Drosophila melanogaster: one gene and its partners. The gene in region 2 interacts genetically with the main gene of each other region. Each region holds a gene or a part of one and is shown on either strand. Other genes may lie near its edges.

Evidence for each region.
Region 1: of Ppt1 (region 2) and UbcE2H, changing one suppresses a phenotype caused by changing the other (phenotypic suppression), as found in Drosophila melanogaster (one study listed by BioGRID).
Region 3: of Ppt1 (region 2) and faf, changing one enhances a phenotype caused by changing the other (phenotypic enhancement), as found in Drosophila melanogaster (one study listed by BioGRID).
Region 4: of Ppt1 (region 2) and MESR4, changing one suppresses a phenotype caused by changing the other (phenotypic suppression), as found in Drosophila melanogaster (one study listed by BioGRID).

What each region holds. Positions count from the first base shown.
Region 1 is NC_004354.4:8,088,010-8,096,239, forward strand, and holds the start of UbcE2H (ubiquitin conjugating enzyme E2H), read right to left. Parts: upstream 6,056-8,230; 5' UTR 5,766-6,055; intron 4,105-5,765; exon of another isoform or gene 3,916-4,104; intron 2,139-3,915; 5' UTR 1,852-2,138; coding exon 1,300-1,851; 3' UTR 1-1,299.
Region 2 is NC_004354.4:8,687,751-8,691,989, reverse strand, and holds Ppt1 (Palmitoyl-protein thioesterase 1), read left to right. Parts: upstream 1-1,762; 5' UTR 1,763-1,911; intron 1,912-1,943; exon of another isoform or gene 1,944-1,971; 5' UTR 1,972-2,010; coding exon 2,011-2,555; intron 2,556-2,695; coding exon 2,696-2,845; intron 2,846-2,901; coding exon 2,902-3,028; intron 3,029-3,087; coding exon 3,088-3,210; 3' UTR 3,211-3,363; downstream 3,364-4,239. Other genes in the region: Ogg1 (8-oxoguanine DNA glycosylase), read right to left, coding at 293-379, 439-925, 987-1,304, 1,363-1,502; CAH3 (carbonic anhydrase 3), read right to left, coding at 3,813-3,953, 4,036-4,172. UniProt on the Drosophila melanogaster protein: Cleaves thioester-linked long fatty acyl groups such as palmitate from modified cysteine residues in proteins or peptides.
Region 3 is NT_033777.3:31,775,263-31,780,163, reverse strand, and holds the start of faf (fat facets), read right to left. Parts: upstream 3,145-4,901; 5' UTR 2,982-3,144; intron 2,922-2,981; exon of another isoform or gene 2,600-2,921; intron 2,527-2,599; exon of another isoform or gene 2,413-2,526; intron 1,993-2,412; 5' UTR 1,699-1,992; coding exon 1,406-1,698; intron 805-1,405; coding exon 656-804; intron 602-655; coding exon 1-601. Other genes in the region: CG2126 (uncharacterized protein), read left to right, coding at 3,612-3,719, 3,782-3,915, 3,968-4,180, 4,244-4,416, 4,471-4,605, 4,662-4,813. UniProt on the Drosophila melanogaster protein: Ubiquitin C-terminal hydrolase involved in development and the imd/NF-kappa-B (IMD) signaling cascade. Required for eye and embryo development, and plays a role in compound eye assembly and oogenesis respectively.
Region 4 is NT_033778.4:17,545,562-17,550,880, reverse strand, and holds the start of MESR4 (misexpression suppressor of ras 4), read right to left. Parts: upstream 3,113-5,319; 5' UTR 2,347-3,112; intron 1,996-2,346; 5' UTR 1,919-1,995; intron 1,813-1,918; 5' UTR 1,795-1,812; coding exon 1-1,794. Other genes in the region: RpL18A (ribosomal protein L18A), read left to right, coding at 3,455-3,472, 3,895-4,410; cyp33 (cyclophilin-33), read right to left, coding at 4,497-4,641, 4,715-4,887, 4,944-5,319.

The DNA of each region.
Region 1 (8,230 bases), 600 kb from region 2:
GTGTAAAGACAAAATGTATTATAATAAAAAAATATATGCTTTTGGCTTAAACACGGGTGACATAAGTTAGACATAAGAATTATTGCATTTAATTACACGATCAATTCGAATCCTATTTTAAAATATTACATAATAACCGTATAATAAGATTAATTAACAAGAAAAAGAACTGCAACGATTATTCCGTCTGTTCCACGCAATCGCCTCCATGCCTTTCCTCTAGGATTTGTCTTGGCTTTCTATTTCATTTCATTTAGTATCGATCGTATTCACCTTTTGATATATATTTTTTTTACTTTTCGGCAGAGAAAGTGCTGCTAAGTCTGATGATTTTCTGCGGTTTCCAAATATCTTAATACACATATACAGACAATAAAAAAAAATTCGCGCTTACAATTAAACGGAACAAAAACAAGACAAACATATAAAGTACACACTATTACATAAGAACAAATAATAATCCGCAGTTTTGCTGATCGATCGATCGTTCTAAGGTTTCCGTTCCTCTGGATTGCAAATTGGATAATTGGGTTATCGTCGTGTGGTATTTATATGTGGTGAGGGCATTCCAAAAACTTATGTTTGATGGTGGTATTTGTGTTTACGTTTTCTATCAACTTGTTAAACTCTAAAGAACGACGAGCATCGAAGTCTGTTTAATGCCAGATCAAGGCCAAAGCAATTTCTCGTCAAATTTCGCATTGCATGTGCACTTACTATAACCATTTAAATTGCGCTTGCATCTATGCTTTTATCTCTGCTATCTGTATTTTATCGGTTTTGTTTGTTTGTTTGTTTGTGTTTCTATTCTGTTTGTTTCTATTTTGCTCTTCCATCCGTTCCATTTTTTTTTTGTTACTGTGGTCTATATATCTGCTATGATCTGTTGCGATCGTTGCTCCAATCCGTTTTGTTATCAGCTACTGATGGCTAAACTAAGAGTTTTTAAATCTTGTTTTTCTTTCTGCTTACATTAGTGTATATATATATATATATTATGTATATATTTATATGTATCTGCGTGTGTGCGCTGATCATCACACGCCATCATCGAATCACTTTCTATCTTAAAATCCAATTATCATTTATCAATTATGTATATATATATATAGATATATATATATATATATTGTTGCTTTTTGTTCCATCGCCAACTGAAGGGGTATGGTGAAAGTATAAGTGAGTGTGTTTGTTTGGGGAAATTGGGTGGCAGGAAAATGGATTCTCGAAGCATTTGTATTAGGCTGTTGTCAGTGTTAGTGTTAGCGGTAGTTCCGTAGGCTGGCGGTCCAACCGATATTATAATTCCATGTCCCTGGCCTCATCCTCACTGTAGTCGGACATGCTCGACTCGCTGTCGCTGCTCTCCCGCTCCTGCTGCGCCGCCCGCAACGCGTCCTCGGTGGCATAGCGCTGCACATAGTCGGCCACCTTGCGATGATACTCCTCCGGCTCGTGCAGGTACAATGCGGCCGCATCCCGATTGAGCGGATCGACCGGATTGGGATATGTGAGCAGCTGCGGCAAGAACGATTCAAATATGTTCGATAGATCGTACAACGCCGTCCAGGCCTGATTGATAACATCCAGGCACACCGTACCCGAGGATTCGTCAATGTTCGGATGGTAGATCTTGTTCACAAAACCAATGCTCGGTGACTTGAAGGGATAGTTGTCGGGCAGGTAGACGCGCACCTTCCACACGCCGCCCTCGTAGGGCGTCTCCGTTGGACCGAAGAACTTGACGTGGAACTCGTTGAGGCCTCCCAGGATGGTCACCTCGTGCTTTGATTCGATCAGCTTGATCACATCGTTGTCCATGCGTCGCTTTCCGGCACTGGGCGAGGACATTTTGTTGGTTTATTTGGGATTGTAGTTGCCTGGCTTTTGATTTGATTGGTTTGGTTTGATTTGATTTGGTTTTGGAGTGGTCGTCTCCTCGTTGTTTTTCACTAAGGCTAAGGCGGTGTTATCTTTGTTATCTATAAGTTGTATGCTTAATGTTGTTCCTTTGAAATATTGCTATTGAGTTACATCCGCTATCCGCTTCCGGTTGCCCAGCTGCTGCTCCGCCAGCCACGAACTGCTCCGCATTCGTCAACTCTCACTGGCACCGTCCAGAGCAAAACGGGAGCTGCCTGCAATGGCAATTAATGGACACAAGGATAAGCAAGGATATTCAAATTAGAGATAGGTCAGGTGGTGTCATCTATAGCATAGAGACATCAACTTAAGGAAGTATTGGGATGTTACTTGAATACCTATTTACAATTTTGCTTTCTAAGTTTATAGTTTTTCAGACGTTATGGAGTTAAAAATATAGATAGGATATTTTTAAGGAATAAATATATTAAATTTTAAAGTGTTCCTAACATTTCTAATTTTATCCTTTTTTATAAGATGTTCTCTAAAAATGCACATTTAATTACTGGTAATTTTATCACGCAAAAGTTTAACTTAGCCAATTGGGACTGTGGCGCCAAGTCAGGGGATATGATCTGGAGGAGGTCGAGTTACCTTCTGAGTTATCTATGTCCCGTATATATATTTATATTCATGGTTATGTAGGTCACCAGCGAATCTCTTGCTCTCGCACACATACATAGAGAACATGCACATGCATACTTGGCCTAAATGAGGAAACTATGTCAGCAATCTGTGACGTCGTCGCCCAAATCCACCCACTACCACTCCCGCTTTCTCTCTCCAGCTCTCTCACTCTCATTGCCATTTGCAAAAATCGCCGTCCTTCGAAACGGATTTCAGCGGACTTTTGCTGCATACTTTCGGGATACCGTTATGCTCTATTCCCCTCCCCTCCACAGACTCTTTCATCCTTTCTCTCACCACTCACTTGCTCTTGGCGATTTCGTTTCAATTTCAATTCCGTTTCCCGTTTCGGTGGGTGAGGGCTTTTGTGCTAGTTGGTTGGTTGGGTGGCTGTTGTTTTCAAACAAGCTCAGCTGTTTAATGTTGTTGCTCAAAAGTCACGGAGCACTGCCAGAGAGAGAGAGAGAGAGAGCCAGAAAGAGAGTAGAAGAGGGGCAGCCCCACCGCAATCTTGAAATCAACAAATGTACAGTGGGGATGTGAGAAACATGAGCAGATCGATCAGCAACGTAAATCAAACGAACGTTACGGAATTATGAAAACTGTTACACAAATTTCAGGAAAAATAAAATTTTCAAATTATAATATATTCTTTCTGAATATATCGCTTTACCCCACTGTGCCCCATTCTATGGCTCTCCCTCTCTCTTCACCACTCTTCTACGCTTTGGGATGAGCTAATTCTGCTGTTACTGCTGTTACTCTCTTGTACTTTGTCAAGTGTTTGTATGTGATTGTATGTTTCTGTGTGTGTGTGTGTGTGTGTGTGCGCTGGCTCCCCTATCGCCCCCTATCTCTTTTTTTCCTTATGGCCACCACATATCAAAAATCTTTCCGTTTCTGTCTTTCTGTCACGGTTTGGCTTCGTTAGTTTAACAAATTGTGAAATTCTCTTTCGATTTCTGTGTGGAGAAGCATTACTGTGCCTGTTGTTTTTGCTTTTTATTGGCCTTACTGTACGCAATAAGCGAAGTAATACTGTCTCTCGTCGCTGTCGCTGTTGTTGCCTTTGCATTGCATTGCTTTTGTGCAAGACTCTTGAGTGGAAGTGGAAGTGTGCGTGTGTACTTGTGATGCCACCACATGGAAGATCACCAAGCAACCAAGTCAGCAGCAGCAACATCAATAATAAACAAACAAAATAATAAAAGTCAGCTGCAATTTGATGCTTTTGTTGTTGTCTCTTGGAGGTGGAATTCTTTTCACTCTTTATGAATGTCTTCATTTATAATATCACCATTGGCATCACCGTTAAATAATCACACACTTATTAAATATTTAAATTTAAACTTTTTGCAAATATACCTATATAAGACGGATTTTTGTGACTTTGTTATTTACTTGCAACTATTGTTGTGGTTTTTGGTGATGATGTTTTTAGTTGTTGCTGGCCCTCCGTCTCCCCTATCCACATATATCAGCCTACATATGTGTGTGTTTTCGTTTTCGCTCGTTTTGTTGTCTACTTCAACTAGTTACTGAAAATTAACTGGCAACAGAGTTTCGAGCCCCCAAAGCAGAAAGCAGAAAGCAGCGCACGTTGGAGCTCACGAGCATCTGACGGCGACAGCGACGCCAGCATAAAGCAGAGAGCGACAATCGGGAGAGCAAGCGCAAAAGAGAGAAGGTTGGTGGGGGCTGACGGGTGGAAGAAGAGGGACGAGGGAGAGAGAGATTGCTGAGTGCAGTACACGGGAAAAACTAAACTGCGATTCAATTTCAAATTAGAAATATATTTGCGTATGGCAGCTCCAAACACTTAATGAGTACTTAAATAAAGGCAATATAATTATAAAAAAGTAATAAAATAGTTACCAAATTCCTCATATAAACATATTGAAAACGGTGAAATAGAAACAAAATGTAGTCTGCCGAATATATTGCATACTTCAAGGCAAAACCAGATGGTAAATGGAATAAATTTGTTAGCTTCTTTACGTTAAATTTTTAACTTCTTATGTGGCTCTTTTTTCTTAGTGTAATGGACCCCCTTCAAAGGAAAATCATAATAACAAAGCGATGAGCAACAACAAATTGGACGAAGAGAGCCCCTAAAGTAAAGCAAAGCAAAGCAAAGAAAAGCTATAATCAAGGACAGCGACAGCTGTGAAATGCAGCAAAGGCAAAGCAAAGCCAGAAAAACAAGAAGCTAGAGAAAGAAATGAAACGGGAAATGGTAATAGGAGGGGGAGTGGGCTGAAAGGGTAGAGAGACGGGAGAGGCTAAAAAGCCGAAGTGGCGATGCCCTTCAAAATTGCACACATGTCACTGCCTTAGTGTGTGCGTGTGGAGCCTAGCAACAAAATATATACAAATACACATGCCAAAAGCAAATGAAGGAGGAGATTTAACGAGGTCAAATGCAACGGTTAAGCGAAAGGTTCGAAAGCAAACTCAAAATCAAAGTCAAAAATTAGGAAGACGTCTTAGTGGATTTCGTTTTTCGTGTTTTTGCAACCTCCCCCCACACATGCATAATGGGTCATTGACTGCACATGTGTGTGTGTGTACGCTTGTGTGGGGGAGGGGCAGAAAATGGTAGCAAATTGTTGTTGATGTAAAAGCATTCAATTTATTACTCAGCTTTAAAGCGCACATTTAATTGTTCGTGCTGATAAGACTTTTGAAACGCAAAACAGGGGGAGAATCGAAAACACAACGCAATAAGCAGGCCAAAAGCAAAGTGCGTAGTTTTCGGGTAGGTGGGGTAGGGTGGTGTGCAAAAGGGATGGCAATAGCACAACAAAGAAAATATTGCAACTAAGCTAACGGGGGAAGTTATAGAGATCCACATGTATATGTATATGTACAAATGCACGTTCTCAGCTTAGGGCTCCCGACTAACGGCGAATTGCTGGAAACAGAGGTAAATATGTATGTGGCGATTGGAAGTTTGATTTTGAATTCAAGGCAGCAGAATGCGAAATTAGAGAGAGAGGGCGATGGGGATTGCGGGCGCCAAAGAGAGATGGAAAACATTCACAGCTGTGCGGGGGTCAAACTGCTATTGTTGTTGTTGTTCGTCTATGGCTGATGATGTTGTTGTCGCACTCTCCCACACACACACACACTCGCAAATATCCGGGATATATTTTAAATATAAAGTAATTCTATTTTTCATCAAACAATTATGCATACACACACATATTCTGTACCTTTTTATTTTGATTTCTCTCGGTGTGTGTATATTTGCAGTTGCCTCCCGTTTTAGTTGTATTGTTGTTATTGTTGCTCGTGGGTGGTGTTATTGTGGACTGACGGTCGCCGTCGATTCTTACGCTTCGATACTTCTCCACATTTCCGTTTAATCACCGTGATTCCCTGTGCATTTTCCTAGATACTTCGTGTCTAATTACTTAATTAATTTTGTTTTGTTTTCCGGAATATGAAAGACTTGGAAAATTTGTAGTGTGACCAGCGCCTGCAGAGTGTGACCATTGATGACCGTTAAAATATACCGCAAGATTCTCAAAATATACCACTGAACAAAAGTGGTTCAAAGCTTCAATGGCCACAAGTCGAGTTTCAAACCTAAATTATTCTGCGTACAATTTTCAAAAAAAATCAGCTTTCAGAATTTGAAATTTAAACTCGTTGAATGTATACTTGAATTTTTGCATTTATTATTTTCATCTCTTACAATTGTAATTTCGTTCCGTTACATTTTGAATGCGTTTATTAAAACTTGTAATTTGTTTGGTTTTCTGTATTTAGGATCTCTATTTCGTGTTAAAAAATGAGAGGATAACAATCTTTTAAATTAGCTCTATTTGCTTGACGTAAAACGTGTTTGTTTTTGTTAACGTAGTACTTTTAAACATCAATTGTTTTTATTGCAGCTTCGTTTACTCTTTGCCTTATTGTTTTTATTTATTTCTTTTATTTTTCTTGCAAATACCGAGAGTGTTATTTAAATTCAAAATCGAAAGGTACAATTCGTGGCTAATATTGGTTTTAGTTTCTGATTTAGTTTAGTTTTTAACTGTTTGTAAATACTCCTATTCGTTATGAAACTTGGCAAATTAAATTCGTTCATGAATCAGCGCAGCTTGTCTCAATTTTAATATTAATTTAAAAATTAGATCCATACAGGGGTTTTTAAATAGATCTTTTAATATTATGCTCATGCGTTTTGATTAAAATTGGTTTCTTAAACAATATAACAATGGGAATCTCTAAAACTTAAATCAAATTGGATCGCAATGGTTTTAAGGGGGGAAACCACAATAGAAATTTATGGCAAAATGTTGAATTTTATAATTACGTTAACTTTTACTTCAATTCAGGCTGAGGCGAATTTTCAATTTTTTCCTAAGCTATAGGCAGTGTTTTCTAAACCACTTTTCGTTAACTGAAGGGGGTGAAAACTTAAAAGGGTATTGCTTTTTTAAAGTGGAATGATATCAAGATTTCTATACTACGTTTAAGGTAACCAAATCCAATGAAGAATATATATCATATGTGGTTTCCGCCCTCTAATTTTGTTTCATTACTAATCTGGTCTAAAATGTTAATTTTCATTTGAGCTTCGTTGTTTTAACTTTTAAGATTTATAACTGTGACGTAACAATAACAAAGATAGGCCATTGAAATCTGTCCAAAACTCTTTATGTTGTTATCTTGTTGGCTGTATGTGTTTATATAGAGATAGATATAACTTATCCCAGCGGATCGTGCTATCAGAAATAAATACAATATTCCTGCTTTGAAACTAGATTGAGAGGTCCTAGGCCTCTTCGAATCTAACTACTAAATAACATAACAAATACAATAGAGTTGCCTTAAAATTAAAATTTAAAATTATGGATCTTTTCGTTGGATCCGCTGGGAATTTTGTGTTGTTATTTTTTCTTGATAAATAGTGAGAGATATATAGAGAAAATGTGGCTGGTTTGCTGGAGGTTAAAACCCTATAGTTCAGAAAGAAAAGGTATTAACAAGTATTACAAAAAAAAATAAAACTGGTACTGCAATAATTTGTTTTAATATAATTCGGAATTCTGTATACCTTCAAAATGCAAGTGCCACAGTGTGTTCGTGTCTTTTAGTGAGTGAGAAATGCAAATGGTTGTCCTAACTTTCAATGCTCTTGCATAGTTAATTATTTTCAATTTCCAGCCTCCTTAGCCTCCAATTAATAAGTATTTGAGCTTTAACAATTGTCAATGATTTCCTGTTCGGCTTAGTTCTCCATCTCATAGATTATATAAACAAATTTAACATTATATGCTCGTTACATTCGAATCGATTTGGATTTTGCTAGCTGCAAATACTGCGATCATACATCGTTAATATATCAATTGTTTACTTGTAGATTGCAATTAACGTTTCATTCGCATTCGCCATGAATGTATATTTTCATTATAGGTGTATAATTAGGCTATAAATATTATATTCCTCGAAAGATTTCATTCTTTCTTATGCTTCCATCTTCTTTTGTTTTGTCAAAATTTTGAATTCCAAACAAATGGGCAATTGGAACTATAAAAATTTAAAAGTGAGGCTAATCTCTGACTCTGCTTCTGGCTAAAATTGTCCCTGGCTAAATTCTAAATTAGTGAAATCATCCTAAACAGGGGATAATTTAGTGTTAGACTATATGGGCTATAGGCTATAGCTT
Region 2 (4,239 bases):
ATGAATTTCTAAAACGGACACAACACATTTTGAATATCCTAAATTTCAAATTCGAGCGCAATCTGTACACATAAATATGGCGATGTATATACAAAACGGACATTTAATGTACACTTTATTTAATCAATTACATCTGTTTAGCAATAAAAAAAAGATATATGAAACCCAGTATCAAGTTCTTTCTCTGTTTAGATATATATTTATATATACATTAGTATATACATTTCTATTATATTTTAATATTCAAATATTACAAGTAGGAATATTTTTTTTTTTAATCCAATAGATAAGATCACTTTTTAGGTTTTTTATTGGATTTTTTCTTACAAGCAACTGTGGAAGTATTTTGAAATTGACTCAAATCGGCAGAAAAGAGAATCTGAAATAATGATATTATAAGAAACACACAGACTAAATTGCAACTTTCAGTGTACTTACAGCTTGAGCCCAACCGGCATACTTTCCGTGTAGCTTTTGAAAATGTTTCGAGACCTCTTCGTAAATCTTCTTGGTTACGTTCTTTTGGCCGGTTAGATGTGGCAGGTAGTAATTTTGGGCAATTCTGTAAATATGAATGTCGACGGGCACTGACTCCAAGTGACCCATTGACATAAGGCAGATGCAATCGGCCACTTTGTATCCGATTCCGGGTAGCAGTGTCAGCTCCTCGCGAGCTTTTTCGAACGGCATGCTCTTTAGGCTTATGAACCAGTTTTGTCCCCCCTTTTTCTGGATCTCTTGCAGCGTTTGTGCTATGAACTTGGCCCGATAACCGAACTTGGCAGCCCTTAGCTGGGCATTAAGATCCTCGCATGGGATGTCGTGGAATCTATTTATCGTGGGAAATGTATACGCATCGGCACCATTGAAGTGACCAATCTTGGTGCCAAATGTAGCGCAAAACCATTCAATCATAGATGATATGCTAAGAAGAAACCAATTTACTGTATTTAATGATGGGATTCGCATTTGATTGAACCACCTACCGCTTGATGTTATTGTTCTGACTGCAAAGGAAGCTAAAAATGTTTTCGAACGGCTCCTGAGAAAGGAGGCGCACAGGCTTACTCAAGAACTTCACAAAGTTATCATCTTTGCTTAACCAATCTTTTTGGTTGACCTTTAGGTCGAAATCAACACGTAGGTAGTCAGATATCAAGGAAGAATAGTCCTTCGTGGCCAAAGGACTGCTGGTTCCGTATGCCTCGTAAGTTATGAAGGATTCTTCTTGCTGGAGCACCCAGTAGGTGTTGAACACCACTCCGCCATATTTCGTTCTATTACCATCGCATATGGATCGCCATCTGGCATGTAAAGTTGTTTTGAGTACATATGTTCATTATTAGTATGGATAGCGCTTACCGGAAACTCTGTCCTCCAAGCAAAGTTCTTTCCAAATCGCATTCTTCGAGGGATAAGCCTATGACACCCCGATCCTGTAAAACAGCCTTCATGTTTGAAAAAAGGCGCTTTTTATGGAAACCTAGGTTATGAGCCAGCATCCGGTTTTATAAACAACTTAAGCCGTGTTTTGGCATACTTAACAATAGTACTTTGTCACGTTTAAATAGTAAACCACATTAAAACTCGAGTTTAAATCGAAAGAAACAAACTCGCTGAATAAAATGTGTTATTGCTATCAGCTGTTTAGCATTTGTTTACCGTTCGGGGTATTCACAACATTCTACTTTTGCTTAGACGCCAGTGTTGGAAAATGTAAATTTTCTGTTCACAGCTGCACAATAAAGTACCAATAAATGCAGCAATGTAGACGAGGGCTTCGAAAAATGCACCTAATTGAACAGTTATATAGTCAAGCCTGTTGCCTTGAAAGGAAAAATAGTTGCAGTATTTTTCATGTTGCGTTAAAGCACGCAGTACGAAATTACCTTTAGGTATAAATAAGACCAGGTACATCCCGTACATGAAATATCCCGATTATATTATCGAACCATATATTATCGATAGCAGACGACTAATTTGATTTGCAAAAATTGCACTCCAACAACAATGATTTCTATCTGCTGTTCTCGTTTTTCATGCATTTTATTTTTGCTGTTCCTGATCTTTTCCCTCGTGCTGAGCTACATATGGTGGAGCCCGACGAAAGGAGGAACCAATCCGGAGGTCCTGCCGGTCGTTCTGTGGCACGGAATGGGCGACACCTGCTGCGTACCCTTCAGCCTGGGTGCCATTATGAACCTGATCGTGGAGCAAACAAAGGGCGGCTATGTGCGATCCCTGCAGATCGGCGGCAATGTTTTGATAGACTGGCAGAGCGGCTTCTTCATACATCCCAACGAACAGGTGGATTACGTTTGCAAGCAACTACTGCAGGATGAGCACCTGGCCAAGGGATACCACGCCATCGGATTCTCGCAAGGCGGCCAGTTTCTGCGTGCGGTTGCCGAACGTTGCCCGAATCCGCCAATGAGGAACCTTATCACACTCGGTGGGCAGCACCAGGGCATCTTCGGACTGCCCATGTGCCCCACCTTAACCGAAAAGCCCTGTGATTATATCACGAGGCTACTGGACAACGCCGCCTACGCACCGTGAGTCTATCTGTTGTTAAGGAATCCTAATATAATATAATTCCTGGAATTTACATGCTTATTAATCCAACACCACCATGTCGCCATCCTTGTCGTTTCCGTGTTAATTCTCTCTTCTCTCTTGCATACCATACACCCAGTGAAGTGCAGAAGGCATTGGTTCAGGCCACCTACTGGCACGACCCGATCATGGAGAACAAATACCGCCTGGGCAGCACATTTCTCGCGGACATTAACAACGAGCTCTTCATCAACAAGTTCTACATTGAGAATCTGCAAAAGCTTAAGAAGTAAGCGCGTATTATACTTATACATTTATCAAATATTATTAACCTCTGCTTTGCAGATTTGTGATGGTGCAGTTCCTAAACGACACAATTGTCCAGCCGAAGGAGTCCCAGTGGTTTCAATACTACACCACTGGGCAGAACAAAGTCATCCAGCCCTTTACTGAGAGCAAAGTCTATCAGGATGTACGTATGCATATCTATCACCTAACGTTCTAATATGAAATGTACATTTTTTCCTAAAGCTGGGACTGGACAAGATGCATCGACAAGGACAACTTGTCTTTCTCGGCGTCGAAGGTGATCACTTGGCCATATCCAAGGCCTGGTTTATCCAGAACATAGTGCCTCTCTTACTCGAAAAATAAGATGGTGCCCAAAAAGCACGTATTGTGACAAAAATGTTTGCATAGGTTTAATCCATTCTTCCTATTAACATAAGCATTTTAATATTAATAATGACTTTTTGATACTTTTATACATGTTTAATTAGATGTTTAATAAATTCAGTTTGGACATACAAAATGTGTTGATTTACTGTTCTTATTTTCCTCTTTTTCTCGCTTTCACTGTTTATCTTAATAACTTAAACGTTAGGATTACGTCTCTTGTAGATGTCTTAAGTAGTTGTGCCCGATATTTCTCTGAAATATTCAATGCAAGGCAACCGCGTGCTCCGACTAAAATTCCATACACGTATCCGTATCGTAAATACTCCGTATATATATATATATATATATATATATATATATGTATGTATGTATATGTATGTTTTGTTAGGTATATAACGCTATGTACATGAGGCAAATAACAAAAGCAGCTTACAGACAACCATAGACAGATAAATGTTTACACATAGCTATAGTTTAGATAGGCGATTGGGCGGAGAAAATTGCGCGAAAGGTTGGAAAAAGGAAAGTCAGCGGGAGCGGGAATTGTAGAATTGTATCCAAGTCATATGGCAAGCACATTATAACTTGGACTTTGGATTGGTGTTGCGCGCAAAGAAGATTTCCGGATCCTTGTGCGGACGCTGGATCTCGCGATAATTGTTGACTATCTTTTTGGACTCATCTTTGGGACACGATTGCAAATTGCGAAACACCTGAACCTGCAAATCAAAAGAGGTTTCTCAAATTTAGTGTTCCAAATGAAAGTATTTGGGGGATCATCTTGGTGAGAAAAACACGCACCTGGCCGCGAGACACATAGATGGGGGTGCGGTATATGATCCAGGTGACACTCTCAAAGTACGGCGCCGTTGTCAGCGAACCCTTGTACGTGTAATAATGTTTGCTCAGCTCCTGCAGACCAATCCATGATAGGCAATCTAAAAAAGCAGAGCCAAGAGTAATAGAGTAAGTCACATTTTTAAAACCATACTCGGTGAAAATTGC
Region 3 (4,901 bases), on a different chromosome or scaffold from region 2:
AAGTACTTGGCTATAGTGGCAGGCATTAGAAGCTCATAACATTGACCGAATGGACGCAAGAGGCTGTGTATGAGGGCAAGGGTGAGGCGATTATCCTGAGCCCCATTTTCAACCCTACCCTCGACACTAATATTCTTGCCAGTGCACTTGTTTTGGTTGCGCTTCAGCAGTTCCAGTCCGATGTTAAACCGTTCCAGTAGATTGTCAAAGCCTCCCAACTGTCCGAAGCGGTTAATAAGATCCACAAGCCAGCCACGCGCATTCTTGGGCTCCGGCGGCGGACGGGCGTACATTTTGTTGCTGTCCAACTGACCCCAGATGTAGTCCGGCGCTGCGAAGCACTCCGGTTGACGGCCTGCGTTAAATGTGTTGAACTTGTTCTCCGGATCAAAAACAATAGCCAGCAAGTCAAGCAGATAGGGATTGTCTCGCTGCATGTGGATGGCGATTAGATGTAGAAGCTTGCCGCAAGACACAAGGATACAGTGGTGGATGTTATTCTTCCACGAATTCACCGCCTCGTCGGTTAGGATCTTGGCAAAGGAAGTGCTCAGTCCATTGCGATAAAACTCCACACATGGCTCGCAGTCGTGATCCACACCTGCAAATAAATTGACTTTAGAGGGTATCAAATAAATCGTTTGGACACACTTACCAGCCTGGGTCAGTTCGATGGCTGCATTTAAGAGAACCTCCAATTCCTGTTCAGGCAGCACCGGCACCACCCAACGCGGATTGGATATCTTTTGCGTTAGTGATCTCAGTTTCGTCGTGGGAAACGAGGATATAAGCTTCTCTGGAGGCCTATTTAATTAAATGGACAATTATTCAATATTAAAAATAACAAATTAAATAATACACATAAAAAAAAAAGTTCTTAGGGGGTCAATCAAAGCACACCCTTCCATAAACATTTCTGTTTATTAAATGGTTATTTCTATTAAAATAAATGCCAAAACGCATACATTTTTTTTTTTTTTTTTTTTGTAATTTTCAGTGTTAGCTTATTTTGATGGACAAGCGATAAGATAGGCCGTGGACGGGCATTCAAAATGAGATAGTAATAGCCGGGTAAGGTAATATTAGTAAAGCTTGGTAAGTTCATTGCTAAAACTGGACAGCAGCCAAGTGCACCTATCGAAGAAAAAGAAAGATAACATTTATTGCCACATTTATGGTCACTAACCAGTGGCCTGGCCAAAATCATCTGAAACATAGTTAAATGAATTACGAACATTGTGCTGGCCCAACCATAGACAAACAAAGAATGCATGTGGAAGAATTACTACGCAAAAGTAAACACACGAATGTTGGGGATCTTTAGGGGTGGCGGTCATACTGGTGCTACGCACAAAACCCGACTAATTGGGCGGAGTCATGCAAATACGGCAGCACGACCACTTACACTATTGTGATGGTGCTGTCCACGCTGTTCGCTGACAAGGAAGCGGCCACGTCATCAGAGCTCTGACTGTCTGTGGCCGGCTGTTGATCCTGGTTGCCGTCCAAGCTACCTGATCCTCCTCCTGGCAGACTCGAGTTGGCGACTGTTCCTGTGCCTGTTCCTATGCCCGATCCTGATCCGGCACTCTGCGCCGGACTCGTTGTGGTGGTTGTTGTGCTGGTGGTGCTGCTGCTTGAGCTGGGCGCTGTGCTTCCCGGCTGTCCGGTGGTGTGCCTACGAGTGTCGAACGTCATGGTGGCGGGGTATCCTCTCCAGCCAACTCGTTCTGCGGAGCACCGGAAGCGGATGTTAATGCACGAGCTCTAGTGCCGGGCTAATCCTAATGCGTTCTGCAGTGCGCGTCGTTTTTTGACTGGTGTCTTATGGCAAATGTGAGGTATCCGGGCTTCTGCTTGTCCAGTTTGGGAGTTCCCCGCTGATTTGCTGTTTCTTGAGGCACAGTTGGTCGGTTAGTTGGACTTCTTGCTCTGGGCTCCCTCTTATTGTCCTTTTTCCCAATGCCTGGTCAGCGGCCAGTTTGCAAAAATCTATAAAGTGCAACGAAGCGAAAGAGGCAATAAGAGGCGGATAAATACAGCGCTAAGAGAGAGACCGAAAAGGCCCACATGTGTACGAAGCTCAGTTTTGGGTGTGTGAGTGGTCCTGCGTGTGTGTAAGAGAGCGCTGGGTTGGAATATGAAAAATCAATATTATTTAATAGACGGGGCAGCAAGCGCCAAATAATGCTCCAAAAGCACACAAATTACGCTCTCACCCACTCACACGCACGCACGCTCACCCACAGAACCCTCTCTTTTTGTGTGTGCGTTTGAGTTTAATTTAAAATTGTTTTTGTTTTACGCCTCGCTCTTCATTCTTATTTATTTATTGTTATTTTTTTGGGCAAACAAAGAACATTTTCCTGCCGAAAATTACATCACGTCCAAGTTTACGGATTTTGCACTCACTCTCTATCTCTCTCCGCCCGGCATCATCCTTAAGCGGAATGTCGGTCGGTGGGTGGGAGCCACTGGTGGAAAAAGGGGCGGGGAAAGGGTGTAGGCGAAGGGTGGTGAAAATAACTACGCATAAAGTTATAGAAAGATGCCAAAATTAGCGGTTCATTGGGTGTGTCGAGGGCGGTAAATTGCTCACATTCTTTCTATAGCTTTAAAAGTTGTAAGAGATTAACGGAAGTCACCCAAGGACGGCGGCCAGTGCGGCTTTTTATTATTTTTCACTGTTTTTTCACGCGCACACACACTTCCTCACGCGCACGTACATTTATTTTTCGCAAATGGAATCGAGCGAACTGACGACCGAGTCCCAACTTTTCGCAGGCCTCAAAATGGGCGATTGCTCTTCCTTTCGCCTTTGCTCTGGACAGCGGGGAGCCCTTACTTGGCTGCGCCACTCGAAGCTAGTCGCGGTAACTATTTCGCGAATATTGAGCTTACAAATCAGCCGGCCAATAGACAAAATGGCGTCTGCCGTTGCTGTTGTTCTGCGGTCAACTCCAATTGCCATTGCTTTTTACCTGCCTGCCCGACGGCGAAGAGCTGCGTATCCTGCGAGCGTCGCGGTTGCGGCCACAGGGTTTTTTCTACCCGCTCGTTGTCCAATTCGCGTTAAATAAATTATATTTAAGCTATTTCTTTTGCTAGGGTTGTGCAGTTCGGGCGAACTAGTTATGAATTGAACCGGTTCGCGCGGTGCTTTTTACCAGAGTTATCAGGCCATGCCAAAAGCGCGCCTATCGAACTGGTTTATGTGGTACATATAAGGGACCCTAAATTTAAATTTCTGGCAATTGGGATTTCAAATAAAATCAAATCATTGAAATGCACTGTAAGAATGTACACTCTACTAGTCATGTTTAATTGTAAATAAATATATAAAAACATATAGTATTATTAATTTGATCAAATTAGAAAGCAGTCTTAGGGCCCATTATATAATCTGTAGAAAATAATTTCCTTATTTTTAATACATTTCGCATGTGCTTCTGATGTATTATCATTTTATAAATTAGTATTAATTTAAGTGCACGAACAACCTATTCGTTTATTCAGTGGTCCTACTGATAACGATAAGTCCGATATCGATAGGAGTATTGTTTTTATTTTGTTTAATGTAATATACAATACGAAGTAATTGTTTTGATTTCATGAGAATGTACGACGCGTTGGAACGCTGCCCAGGAGCCTACTGTGGGCGATCACCGCTAGGAAACAACAGCTGGAGCAGCTGCGGGGTCTGTCCCAGAGGATCTCGGGTTAATGTTCTAGCATCCTTCGGAACGGCGCCTGGAAAATAATTTACTTTTATATTGTTCAGGTGAACCAAAGTTACGCATGCTCTCCATGCCGCGACGAGTTAAGCACGTACTCCTGGCTATACCTGGGATTCATGACCATGCTGCCACTTATGATGCACTGCTTTTTCATTGACATGGACGCCAAGGATCGCAAGTGAGTGAACTAATCAAACTGGAAGAAGAACTTACTTAGTGAATTCACATAGGTTTTCGCGGAAGCAGCTGATCTTGACGGCCAGCGCTTTCGTTGAGGTTGCCATATCTGCCATCCTCGCCACCTTGCTAATGGAGCCCATGTGGGAGCTGCGCCTCTACGCCTGTGATGTTCGAAAACTTACTGACTGGTACACATTGTTTTACAACCCCAGCCCCAATTATGAGGCACGAGTCTACTGCACCCAGGAGGCAGTTTACCCATTGTAAGACCCAGCCACCCAAGGCTCCAGGTGTTCACAATAGTCACTTTAATGTTCAATTTCCAGGCAAACCATCGTGCTGGTTTTCTACTTTCTGTGCCTGGTGAACATGTTTCTCATACGCCCGCTAGTCAGCAAAATTATGGATGTGGGGGGCAGAAGCAAGGCGCCGATTTACTCGGCTCTTTACTTCCTGCCCCTGCTCACCTTTATCCATGCGTTAGGATGTGGGTTGATCTGTGAGTACTTAAGTGCTTGCTAATATTTTGGTCTTGAGATCTTTTCTTTTTCAGATTACTCCTTTCCGTACCTTAGCGTGGCCATATCCATGGTAGCCAATGCCATCCACTATTCCCTCAAACTGGATCAAACCCTAAAGGCATTGGTTCACTCGTCGGTGTGGGAGTTAAAAAACGTGGTCATCATAGGTAAGCAAAGTGCGCATTCACCATACATAAAGTATACCAGCAGCTTACTTTCCCAGCTGTGCACTGGATGTTGTTGGCCTACGGCCTCACCTCCCTGAATTACCACTATGCCTTTATGTGCTTGGTGCCCTTCCCCACACTGTTCTATATTTTGACCGTACGTTTCACGGATCCTGCCGAGTTCCGGGAGCTGGAGTCGAGAATTTGATGCGGCGACGTCCAGATGCAAATTTTTCACGCCCGGGGAACTCGTCGATCGACTGTTGTTATCTATGTGTAGTGTACGCGTCAATTAA
Region 4 (5,319 bases), on a different chromosome or scaffold from region 2:
GGAGCAACGAAAGAATCGCTCCTGCTTCTGCGATAGCTGGGAACTATTCGCACTTTGGATCCCGCTGCACTGGGCCTGGTGCTTGTTCAGCTCCTGAAACCTTTCGAAATCGAACTGCAAATTGCACTTTGCACAACTAAGGACTTGTTGAGACTCCGTAGAGATGGCAGGCGGAATAACATTAGAGTTGCTCTGAAGGCGTTGCAGAAGCAGCGAGGAAACGAAGCCACCTGCCTCCACCTTTGTTTGTTTTTCGGGTTGGCTGACGGAGGAACTCTTGCTGCGCCTGCGCTTCAGCGAAAGCTTCAGAGCCGGCGGTTTGGCATTGTGCTCGCTCTCTGGATGATCGATGACCAGATGCGGCTGCGAAGCAGAGCTTACAGTGCTGCTCCTGCTGCTTATACTTCTGCTACGGGTGGTACCAACGGGTAGAATCAGGGGAAGCGCTGACACCTGAGAAGCGGTAGTGTCCTCCTCCTTAGTGTTGTTGCCAGTGTGGTTTGTTATCACAGACTGTTCCTTGGGGTCTTCCAGCTCTTCGCCGGGATCCTCGACCTCCTCGACCTCCCCGTCCTCGAGCTTCTCTTCTTTCAAAGCTTTATGTGCCCCATTGAGTTTTATCAACGGAACGACCTCTACAGTATGTTCTTTCAACTTGACACTATCACTGTGTGCTTCATCTTCCATATCAGACTCGATTTTAATGACATTAGGGGGCGCTCCGTCTTCGCTGCATGGAAGATCTACATCCATTGTCAGCGAAGGAGAATCCAGTGTATCGGATCCCTCTAAAGAAGGTACACCAATTGTTTGCGATGTAGTCTCATCCACTTCTGGCGGTGCAGTGGAAGCGTATTCACCAACGTCAGCTTGGTAAAGATCTCCTGAAGTCTGACTCTTTTCTGTCCCTCCTTCAATCTCCAAAACAGGACTCTCATTATCTTTAATTGATATGAACTCTTTATCCCCACTTTCAGAATCTGTTTCAAGATTTATCACTGGCGGGGTGTACACTGTTTCCTCAATTTCGCTTTCGGAATCTTCATTTGCTGATTGAAAATACTTATCCTCCACTTCATTGCTGTCAGATTCTTTTGGCTGGAAGTGGTCCACCTTTTCATCGATTTCGGACTCATGATTTGCCCCTAAAGACTCTGAGGGCTGCTCTTCCGAATCCGTTAAGAACTCCATATGGGTCTCACTTAAGGAATCCGATTTGTCCTCCACTTCGGTCTTTAGTTCAATATCATCTAAGAACTGCTCATTAAGTGAGATGCTGGTTGGTTCTTTGAGTTCCTCCGATTTGTCTTCGACAAGCTCTTGCTTTACGAGATCTTTAGAGGGAGAGCCAGTTGTCAAGCAATTTGCTCCTAAATCGACTGGTGTATCCGTGCTTTTTCGTGAATTAAGAAGAGATTCCTCTGCCTGCTCTGCCTCTTCCGTTTCGGCTGTCTCCTCCGTTTCGGCTGTCTCTTCCGTTCCGGTCGTCTCTTCTTCAGGTGTGTCTTTGAAACCCTGGCCATTTGCCATGGTTACATCTATCACGTCATCGTTCTTTTTCGGCTTCCCATCTTCATTTCCCTTAGCGTTGTTGTTCTGTCCATGTTGGTGGCTCTCGTTTTCCTCCTTCGCCTGGTCCAGCACATAATGAAGTTCTTCGATGTCGTCTTCTTCGCCAGCAGCTGCACCTGCCCCGGTGCCCTCTTCCGATCCCGTTTCCGATCCTCTTCCCGCTTCTCCATCATCTCGGTTAGACGTTAGCTTGGCTTGTTGCTGATCCAATGCTTCCATCATATTATCTGCAATCACACGCTGTCAGCAAAAAACAATAATAACATTTAAGAAAAGAGGAGAAAAACAAATAATCAGAGCGCTATTAATTAAACGCACTTTAGACAAAAATTGTTATATTCATTACCTTTGCATGCCGTTGGCGTTGAATCCGTTCCGGTTCTCGCTATTTTTCTTGTATGCTTTTCGTTGTTCTTTACGCAGCTGAAAGCGAAATGAAACGAATTTATTATTACGAGATATTGGGTTTGGTATTTCGATAAAAAAAAATTAGAATGACAGCAAAGGCTAAATGTTTATGCGGGGGTATACACGATAAATTTTTCAGAATATTAACGGCATAAACATTTGTATTGCACAAAAATCGCCGGTCATTGGTTGATCTTGCAGCCCTGGTGCAAACGAAAAGTCAAAATAATTGAAAATACCAAAATAAATGTTAACAAAATGGCAACGTGAGAGCCACTTACTGCTAAAAATAAACGAATTTACTTGAAATATTCTTGGAATGGACACTACAATCAAAATGTACAGCAATTATGCACGTTTATTTACCTGCTCTCCTCCTATGCGTTGCTGTTGTTTTGTCGGTTCTGCTCAGCGTATTATTGCTGTTGTTGTTCTTGTTGCTGTACCCTGCTTAGGTAGAATTTTCCCACAATTTGTAGGCGGCAGAGGGAGAGAGAGTGGGAAGGCAAGAGAGGGAGAGAAAGAGCGATGAATTTTACGCGCGCAAACAGCAAGGAGAGAACGTAGCCAAAACAACAACCGATTTCACGGAAGTTCGCTGCACAACTGAACCAAAAAGAGACCGAAACCGAGAGAATTTGCCCAGCGGATTGGATTGGACGAGCCGAGACGGCTCGGAAGGAGAGCGGGGCGCCCCCACCCCACGGCGAACTTATACAATTAACGCCTGGTTTCAATTGTTTATAAACTCGCAGGACTCGCATACGTAATGCAAACAGATTTCACAAGTGCACCCAATTGCCGTTGGGCTTAGTTTCGACCAGAAGCACAATGATATTGTCGAATTGCTTTTTTGCCTTTTTGCGCGTCTCTTGTGCGGGGTAAAAAATGTTCTTCTTTTTGAACGTCGCCGTCCACGCTTTGCATTTTACGTTCTGCTCGATTTGTTCGCGCTCTTTTTCACCGTATTTTAGTAGCTGCACATTGGGTAGCGTATGGGGATTGGATATTTCACAATTTGGCTGCGGAGAGAGCTCGAATAAAGCGTGAAAAACAAGTTTTTAGCAATATTTTTCGCCTTTTTTACAGCCATGCCATTGAAACACGCGCAGAAGCTAGTGATGGACGATAGTTCGATAGCTGGCGCAGCGTGTTGGTGTGACTGCCAAAAATGCAACCGTGTGACAGGCATCGCTGTGCTTTTCCCTTGCGGTTCAATGTAAGCATATCGATACTTGGCCAGTACCAGCAATTATTGTTAAAATCTTATTTACACGGGCTATTTAAAAATATTATCTTGAGTAATTATCTTAATTTTAAACGAACCATTATAGCACGTCCAGTATCACAGTGGATCAATCATAACTAATATTCGTAGTTAGCTATCGATAGTTTTTTCCATCCCTGAATCGAGGTTCAGTGTCATACCGATTTGACAAGCTCTTTCCGTTTCCTTTTCGCGTGAACGTCCAACATGAGAGCCAAGGGATTGGTTAGTATTTGCCAAAATAAATGATTTATACAATCATTATTTTAGTTTAAAATGCGTGCAACAGATAAGCAAAAACATAGCCTATTTGGCGTAATCGTTGGATTTTTTAAAACTCCGTAATTTCTGTGTAAAAAACGACATTGTCGTGGACAATGTTTGCCGAGCCACTTTTCTTAAAAATGTGATCCTATCTAACTCACAAAAGTAATTTACATAATTGTGAGAAACTATTATTCAGTACGAATTTATAACTAACTATTCAAACATATTCAATATAATAGAAATACAACTGCTTTGTGCCGCCGAAAACATAACCTTCAAAAACCAACAGCCATGCGTGTGTTTGTTTGCCTGCGACTGTTCGCATTTGTTTACAATTGTTTTATGTAGACCATTTAAACTAATCCAAATCCCATTTGCAGTTGAAGGAGTACGAGGTCGTGGGCCGCAAGCTGCCCAGCGAGAAGGAGCCCCAGACTCCCCTCTACAAGATGCGCATCTTTGCCCCCGACAACATCGTGGCCAAATCCCGCTTCTGGTACTTCCTGCGCCAACTGAAGAAGTTCAAGAAGACCACCGGCGAGATCGTGTCCATCAAGCAGGTGTACGAGACGTCGCCCGTGAAGATCAAGAACTTCGGCATCTGGCTGCGTTACGATTCCCGCTCGGGCACCCACAACATGTACCGCGAGTACCGTGACCTGACTGTCGGCGGTGCCGTCACTCAGTGCTACCGCGACATGGGAGCCCGCCACCGTGCCCGTGCCCACTCCATCCAGATCATTAAGGTGGACTCGATCCCTGCCGCCAAGACCCGCCGCGTGCACGTGAAGCAGTTCCACGATTCAAAGATCAAGTTCCCTCTGGTCCAGCGTGTCCACCACAAGGGCAACAGGAAACTGTTCTCGTTCAGGAAGCCCAGGACCTACTTCCAGTAGGATTCTCCTGCATCCTATACCTATGACTTAGTGGATTTTTTCAATAAATGAGAACGTTGAAGAGTACACTAGTTGTGAAAGCTTCTTTATTTGAGTTCTCCACAGGAGTATATGACAATCTTTTGGCTGGGAGTGCCCGACTTGGAGCCACAACGTTCCATCTTGCGCACCACCTCGGCGCCACTGATGACATGGCCAAAAACGACGTGCTTGTTGTCCAGCCAATCTGTTCTGTAGAACAAAAGAAATGTAATTAGTAGAAGGAAATATTTCAGTTAAATTATTTATTGTAAAACCAGCTTACTTTGTGGTACATATAAAAAACTGCGAGCCATTTGTGTTGGCGCCCGAGTTGGCCATTGAAAGAGTTCCAAAACTGTTGTGTTTCAGATTGAAGTTCTCATCGTTGAACTTTTTGCCATAGATGGACTTGCCGCCGGTGCCATTGTTGTTGGTGAAGTCGCCTCCTTGACACATCTTTTGAATGGAAAGAATGCATAAATGAAGAAAACTATGCCAAATTATTATCTTACAAACTCGGGTATCACGCGGTGGAAGGAGCAGCCTTTGTAGCCGTAGCCCTGCTCGTGGGTGCACAATTGCCGAAAGTTCTCCGCCGTCTTCGGCACCACATCTGCCCGGAGGAGCATCACAATGCGACCGGCGTCATTGCCACCAATCCGTATGTCAAAGAAGACTTGTGGATTGCGTTTCTCTGCCTTTTCGATGACTGCCGGCCCGGTGGATGGTGTTTCCACTTTCTCTGCCTCCGGTTCGCCTTCCGGCTGCAACGTGGCTCCCGCATGCTTCTGCAACCAGTCGTCATCTGCCCAGATAGGCTTGAAACTGTCCTCCTTAACGCGCACTGGTTTCGCCAAGTTCACGCGAATTGTGCGTCCGCAGAGCTCG